Cricetulus griseus: one gene and its partner. The protein of the gene in region 2 purifies or fractionates together with the protein of the main gene of each other region. This does not show direct contact. Links are inferred from orthologs where the notes say so. Each region holds a gene or a part of one and is shown on either strand. Other genes may lie near its edges.

The links.
Region 1: the proteins of Fbh1 (region 2) and Cul1 purify together in Homo sapiens (affinity purification with western blotting; 7 studies listed by BioGRID and IntAct, with this or other methods). This does not show direct contact. The link is inferred for Cricetulus griseus from reciprocal best matches to the Homo sapiens genes FBH1 and CUL1.

Annotation. Positions count from the first base shown.
Region 1 is NW_023276806.1:222,444,912-222,448,560, forward strand, and holds part of Cul1 (cullin-1), read right to left. Parts: intron 3,004-3,649; coding exon 2,953-3,003; intron 2,476-2,952; coding exon 2,385-2,475; intron 1,535-2,384; coding exon 1,371-1,534; intron 1-1,370. UniProt on the Homo sapiens protein: Core component of multiple cullin-RING-based SCF (SKP1-CUL1-F-box protein) E3 ubiquitin-protein ligase complexes, which mediate the ubiquitination of proteins involved in cell cycle progression, signal transduction and transcription.
Region 2 is NC_048596.1:228,545,393-228,549,569, forward strand, and holds the start of Fbh1 (F-box DNA helicase 1), read right to left. Parts: upstream 2,892-4,177; 5' UTR 2,735-2,891; coding exon 2,734-2,734; exon of another isoform or gene 2,706-2,733; intron 1-2,705. Other genes in the region: Ankrd16 (ankyrin repeat domain-containing protein 16), read left to right, coding at 3,940-4,177. UniProt on the Homo sapiens protein: 3'-5' DNA helicase and substrate-recognition component of the SCF(FBH1) E3 ubiquitin ligase complex that plays a key role in response to stalled/damaged replication forks.

The sequences.
Region 1 (3,649 bases), on a different chromosome or scaffold from region 2:
CATAGGGTGGAGGGAAAGAACCTCTCTACATGTATGCTGCTATGACACGCATACACCTGCATGTGTACACATGTGCATGCAGGTATATACATACAGACGAATATAGACAAAATAAATGCAAAGAAGATTGGAAACAGGTCTTTGCAGTAAGAGACCTGTTTACAAAAGCTACTCTGTCACACTAAAAAATTAAATAATGGGCAATACCACAATTCAAAACAGGTTATATTTCAAATACTCTTAAGGAGCAAGGAGCTGACCAGGTTTCAGTCACATACTAGATACAAAGAACTGCTACCATTCCACATAAACAACTAACTAGTCCCACTTTAGTTGGGTTTTGAGATATCAGAAATGTGTAATTGGGTTTCAATTTCAGCTTAGAAGGCCCACTTACATGTGCAATGTAAGTGTACCGTATGAAAATGCACTTTGAACACCACAAGCTGGGCATGACTTTTTCTGTAAGTCAGAAGCAGGGTGGTTGGTCTTATGTATTCTTTCTTTGAACCACGGAAGCAATGACTGTACAGTCCATTTCCTGCCCAAGAGAGGGCAAAGCAGGTACTAGACTTGGTCTGAACCAGACTCTTGAAAATCTAGTACATTCAGGAGAGAAGTCACTCTACAGTTGATTGGCAAAATCCTGACACATATTTCTTGTTTATTTACACATTGCCGACTGTTGTGTTATAACAGCAAAGTTGAACAGTGGTGGAAGAGATCATACATAGCACGCAAAGCCTTAAGATATTTACTGCCTGGCAGTATATAACAGAAAGCTTAAAGACTCCTGACATTCCTCAGCCCCTTCATCCAGAATACCTGAATTTTCAAGAAAGAGCAAAGAAAATTCCTATTAGAAGTTCATGGAAGCATCATGTAGTAAAATAATGCTTATAGAATACGATACATAGCTCTTCTCCCAAGTCAGAATTTAGATCCTCCTTCCTAATGTAATCTTAAAGACTAAGCTATAAACTCCTAGGAAATATTTAAGAAAAAAGTAGCAAAAACAAACAAATGAAATAGCTAACAAATCTTGGAATATCTGCTCAATACTATCTCACTGACAAAACTGTGGGGCCCACTAGTCGTCACACTCAAGGGGAGATGGTTCAAAACATGAAGAAGGCATGCAGTTATCAAGGCACCTCCTTAGCTATGCAAAAGGAATGAACACTCACTCATGATTATTATCAATTTGTGAAAGTCCCTTACAGAGTGACAGGAGCTGGATCCATGGGACATAGTGTGACATCAGTGCCAAGCCTGACTTGTGAGGAACACTGCATTGCCAAGAACTCACTAGAGAAGCAATGACTATTTAACTTACATCTACTTTACATACTATGTATGTTTAAGCTTACCTTTTTCATATATTCAGTAACTGGGTTCTGCTGCAAGAATTCAGTACTTTCTCTGGTATAAAATCTCTCTGTGTCAGCCAAAAATTGAGATTCAAAGGATTCTTTATACACTGTTAACGTAGGGCCCTTTGCAAATGCGTCATCTTCATTCAGCCCCAATTCCACTAGAAAGAAATATGAACTATATTTACCCTACTTTTTGTAATATTTCACAGATAATACTTTGGTGTAACATTCAGTTTAAGTTACACTTGAAAGATCAATGTATAATGGAGGGTTTTAAGGTTAACTGTTATTCACTAGTATTGAAATATTCTTATTTTAATAAAAGAGAAATAAAACAATAAACTCCAAGATATATAGGAGTAGATCACCTCTACCTGGGCCAGGGATACTTCACAATTATCACAAGTTCAGTCAGAGAAAGTCTACATTTCCAAAAGTGATCTAAATGTTGTACTGTAAATTTTCACAGAAACACAAACCTACCTGAGCTTGAACAACACATCAGTTAATCAGGGTCTCAATCTTAATTTTTTTTTTTAGATTTTATTTATTTATTATGTATATAACATTCTGTTTCCATGTATATCTGCACACTAGAAGAAGGCACCAGATCTCACAATGGATGGTTGTGAGCCACCATATAGTTGCTGGGAATTGAACTCAGGACCTCTGGAAGAGCAGTCAGTGCTCTTAACCTCTGAGCCATCTCTCCAGCCCCTCAATCTTAATTTTTTAAGCTGATAGGTTTCTGGTTATCATTTAAGTCAAAAACAGTCACATTATATATAAATATTTCCTCATGAAAGCAGCAAAGGAAATAGTTCATTTTTTTTCCAATCAAAATTTCCTTAAAGTACAAAGATTAAATAACTTATGATTTATAAAAGTACTGCTTAAAAGTACCTTAAAAATGGAATAATATTTGTGATATTTAAATGTTTTTAAATGAATGCCAGAATTATCATGATTGCCATGTGATATGAAAACCAAATAAAGACAATTATTTACCATAAGATTGTACAACTCCACTAATCAGTCTTGTGTTGATGGTTTCGCCATTTCTTTCCTTTTCAATCAGTTTTAAAACAGCATTTGTTACCTTTAAGAATACAGAAAAAATATTAGGTAGAAATGTTACAGGTCATATCCTTTAAACATTTAAAGCCATGTTTTAGGGGTATGGGTAAGTACATATATGTACATGTGTGTGGAGGTAGACCAGTGGACAATCTCAAGTATGGCTCCCCGGGAATCATCACCTTGTCTTTTTGAGATGGAGTTTCTCACTGCCATGGAGCTCATTCAGAAGGCTAGGGTGGCACTGGCAGGGAGCCCCAGGGATCTGCTTGACTCTACTCTCCAGTGCCAGGATCACTAGTGGGCATCAACACACCTGCTTTCTTCCATGGGTGCTGGGAATCTACCCCAGGCCCTCATGCTTACATGGCAAGCACTTTACCAACAAAGCCAGGTCCCCAGACCAACAAATACTCTTGAGATAGTTCAAAGGCTTGGGAAGACAACATAGAAATGGGAAATTTTTTTAAAAGGAAAAAAACACATCCATAATAGATACCTGTTTATTCAATGGCCTGAATAAACAATCTCTCCATGTCACCAATGCAAGCTGGATGGAAAAGGGGGAAAGATGCATTAAATAACTGTATTTCACTATGGTTCTCCAAAACCAGTCAGACAATAATTTGAATTCTTAGTTTTACCAAAATTCCTAGATTACAACTCAGTATAAAAAAAACAAAAAAACAAAAAACTTGTATTACAATGAAATCAGCAACCTCTCAAGTGAGTCACTTTGTACAGATGTTTACGAGCTCACATTTTGACAGTGAAGTTCAAAAAGAACATTCTGCTTTAAGGTGAGCACTTCTATCAGCTTAAAAGCCATTAGTAGATTCAACCTATCAATGTATTCCCTGAATCCAACAATTTTAGACCAGATACACCTAATAAAGGTAATTCCAGTCACTACCCAAGTTTCCTAACACATCAAGATAAAAAGAATATAAAAATCTTCTAACTTTGTATCTGGATTATGTATTTTAAGTGCAGTTTCTTGTACATAACTTATTAAAATCTTCTATTGTACTTTTGTCTTCACGTGACTATGTGTGAGACATATATTGTTGTGTGAGCATGTCACATGCTCACATTGTGCCTGAGGATGTACATACATGGATGGAGTCATCTGTCTCCACAGCCCCGATATATGCATTTTAACGTGAATGTATAAACACCACGGCCCACTTTTCCAT
Region 2 (4,177 bases):
TACATCTTTATATACTTGAAATTTTTTCCTATTATTCATTCATTCCTCCATCTATTCATGTATCTACTGCATCCCAGATTTACTATGAACTTCATGAGAGCATTCCTTATGGTATCCTTGTTGCTAATGCTATTTTAGACATTGGAGAGCATACAAAAATAAGTAAGTCTGACCATAAGGCAGCTAACAAAACAAACACAAATTGCTAAACATACAGCAATCCAAGCGCTACATAAATACATGCATAAGGGCCTATGGTAGTAAATATAATTAGGATCATTGGAAGAAGCTCCATGAAGAGTTGAGTTGTAAATGATGAATGGAAATCAGTTAGGCATAAGAAAACAATCTGAAGAAAAACAAACAAACAAAAAAACAAACAAAGGCATAGCAAAGCCCTCTGTGACAAAAAAGTTTCATTTCTAATAGGGAATGATAGGTAACAAGGCTGGAAAATAAACTTGGGGCCAGAGACTACAAAGGTCCTCTTATATACTGCTGAAGAAATTTCCCTTTATTGCATAGACAATTCAGAGTTTTGTGCAGTTTTTAAAAGCAAAGTCATTACACAATCAAGTTTAGATAGACATGAAGATAGTCAGCAAAACAAATCAGAAAGTCATGGTACCAAGTTAAACAGGAACTGGACAGGGCCTGAGAGTACAAGTTGGGTAGAAAGGGCAGGTGGGTATCAACAAGGTGTTAAGAGTTAAGATATAAATCAAGGATAACTGAAGTTTCTTATGCAACAGTAAGAGAAATGGCATCATTAGCTATGTAAAAAAGCAAAGGAGAAATAGCTATTTTAATAGTTTTTCCCAGAGTGAGAGAAAGACCTAAAGTTTTAATTTATAAAAATAATTTTTCACTAGGCATGGTGGCACACGCCTTTAATCCCAGCACTCTGGAGGCAGAGGCAGGAGGATCTCTGTGGGTTCAAGGTCAGCCTAATCTACAGAGCAAGTTCCAGGACAGCTAGAGCCATTACACAGAGAAACCCTGTCTCAAACAACAACAAATAATAAATAAAAATTTAAAAACCCAGGATTTCTTCTGCTGTTTTTTGTTTTGTTTTGTTTGTTGTTGGTTTGTTTTGCTCTGCTGCAGTAGGGTCTTAGAACAAGTCCAGCTAAGTGCTGGGATAACAAGTGTGTGCCACCATGTCCATATTATTTTGTTTTTAAAGGTTCTGTTTTTGTTTTGTTTTGTTTTTTACAGGAATACCTGGTTAAGCTCCAGAAAAGGTCTATGAAATGTAAGAGCGCCTTCTAAAAGCATGTGACTGACCACTGACAACATGAGAGTTGGCTCTGGTGATAAATTTCTAGAAGTTATTTCACAGCCAGAACAGCAAAGACAGAATCTAAATTTGTCTCTAAACTAAAGTCAGCCTGGAAGGGGTAGAAAAATAGAAGAAGAAGAAAAAGACATAGTAACACATTTGAAATTAGAATCTAAATAGTTTTACGTATTCACAAGTCAGGAAACATGTTAAAGAATGGGTTCTTCAATGAAGACACCCAAATGCCACAGATCCACGAGATACAGCAAAAGTCAGGTAGAAAATCCCAATTCCAATGACAGCTACATGGAAATTTAGACAGTAAAGGTCAGGCCATAAACTCCAAAAACCTTCACTAAAGAAATGGTCAGCTCGACCAAACAGACAGAACAGCAATAGCCCTATTACTAAGCTTCAAGCACAAGTACCCACTACTCTCCAAATCACAAGGGCTGTGGGACAGATTCACAAACAATATCTAGTTTCCCAAAGGAAAACAGACAACAAAGTAAATTCATGAAGCAGAGGAGAGGCAGAAGCTTACTTAGAACACCAATTAAATAACCAATTATCCTGGACTTCAAATATTTCATCTTCTTGTGAACCACGGGTCTCAGTTTTGTTTAAATAATGGGAAACTAGAGATATAAAGCAAAAATCCATCACCATTTGTAAGGAAGGAGTAGGTAGCCCAGACTAGCCTCGAACTCCAGGTCCTCCTATTTTAGTCTCCCAAATGTTGAGACTTAAAACCATGCAAAATGGCAAAAAGTTTGAAACTACCAGATGCCTCAACTTACCAACACGTGGTAAAAATCACTAACTTCATTAGGCCTCAATGTCCTTGCCTCTAAAACCAGAATGCTACCTATGGGCTGTTTATGGAATAGACAATGACAGGCACTTTGTGAGCCAGAGTGCAGGGCCAAATGCAGAGAAACTGTTTTTTAAGCCTGACAAGTAGCGACTTCCATTTTTACCCCCCAAACAAACAAACATATCAATGGTTAAATATCCAGGTCCTCGAAAGGAATTAACAAAGCTTGCTCGGATCTCAATGAGCCTTCCAAAAGCCCCCAGGCCGCCTTATGTCCCCTGAATCACCAGTTCAGGCGAGGGGGTGGAAGACTACCAAGGCAAACACAAATGTCGGGAGCAGAATACAATGACTCGCCCAAGGTCAAAAACATTACAGTGTAGACAAGTCAGGCTTGCCAGCAGCAGAGGCTACTTCTCGAGTGTTGCCCCTTCCGGAACCTCAGGGAGCGGCGTAGGGACACCGGTCTGCAGAGATCCCCCGGCCTCCCCCACCTGACCATTGCGGGCGCGGCCAGCTCCTACATCCACCCTGTGCTCGGGCCCCACCCCCGAGGCCGAGACCCCTGCGCTGGGCCCCACAAGATAAAGTTTGCCCGGCTCGCACCCCACGCCAAGTCCACGGTCTCACGCACTATGGTGGCCCGGCCCAGGACCCAGCCGCCGACACCACCCGGCCGGTGCCGCTGGACATCCAGCCTTCTCTCGACCAGCAAGCCCCTCCTTTGGCCCAGACAGCGAGCAGAGACGACTGTAGACTTCCTCCGCGAGCTCCGCCTCCTCGCAGCCAAGATGCACCCTCCGCCGGAGACGACGGACGGACCCATGAACCAGTCGAAACTCGGAACTGGAGGGGCGCGCAGACAGACGGCCTCTAGAGCCAATCGGTACGCGAGGCGGGAGGGGGCGTGGTTCAAGGAACTGAGCCACGCCCCGTTGGTCCTTCCGCTGGCGCGGAGGAGGCGAAGGAAACTTTCCCAGAGTTCCTTCGAGCTCTCTGGGTTCCCGTGGGGGTTGAGGCGGCAGCAGCGGGCGGGGAGGGGGCTGGGGTCGGCTGCGGATTGGATGAGGAGAGGGCGGAGACAGGGACACTGTCCCACCTCCGAGAGGCCCCAGAAACCCTGCTGTTGGGAGCCTGGGCCGCCCGAGACCCCGACTGGGCAGCCCGGCAGACATCCCCACAGCACACGTGAGCCGGGTAGGCTCCAGGGTGGTTGGCAGCGTGCATTCGGCTGTAGAGAGCCAGCCATGCTTCGCACTCCCGCCCCTCCGCCTCTGTAGCAACCACCGGAGCAGCCCGAGACCCCGGCTGTGGTAGACATGCCCATAGACTGTACAGTGGAGAGTCGCACGGTGCGAGATCAGGCTGCAAAGCCCCTCTGTTCCATTTCAGGACTTGGCGGTACAGCGGCGCACTACATTCCGTTAGGTACTTCGTCCCCAGATCACTCGGGTGCAAGGAACAGCTCCAGGATGTCAGGTGCATAACCTTAACCCAAGCTGCACCGGCTCCGGGAACCCAAGGTCCCACCCTGACGACTCCGCATGTTTGGAGCAAAGTTAACAGAATGAATGGCCCATGAGCGTGCTTGTTGTCGACCCGATCGCCTGAGGAGACACCATTCTACGTGGGGAATTGTGACTTCCAAATCAGTGCTGGTGGCATAAGAAAGACGCTGACAGACCGAATCCCGCTGAGGGGCGGAGCGTCTGGGAGAGCGGTCACGTGGAGGAACCGGAAGTCCTACCCATCATCTTCTCCCCACCTATTGCTGCACTGGTTTGTGTTTAGGACTCGATCTCCGTCTTCCTCCTACTTTTGTCGCTCTTGGTCTAAGGTGATGGCTCCGCCTGGGGATCCGCGACGCCTCTGCAGGCTGGTGCAGGAGGGCCGGCTGCGCGCCCTGCAGGAGGAACTGGAGGGAGCCGGAGGTTGTCAGGGGCCGGAGGCGGCCCGAGGTTGCCAGGGGCCAGCAGGGGACACCCTTGTCCACTGTGCAGCCCGGCACGGGCGGCAAGACATCCTAGCTTATCTAGTGGAGACTTGGAGTATGGACATCGAGGCTGCCAACCGAGACT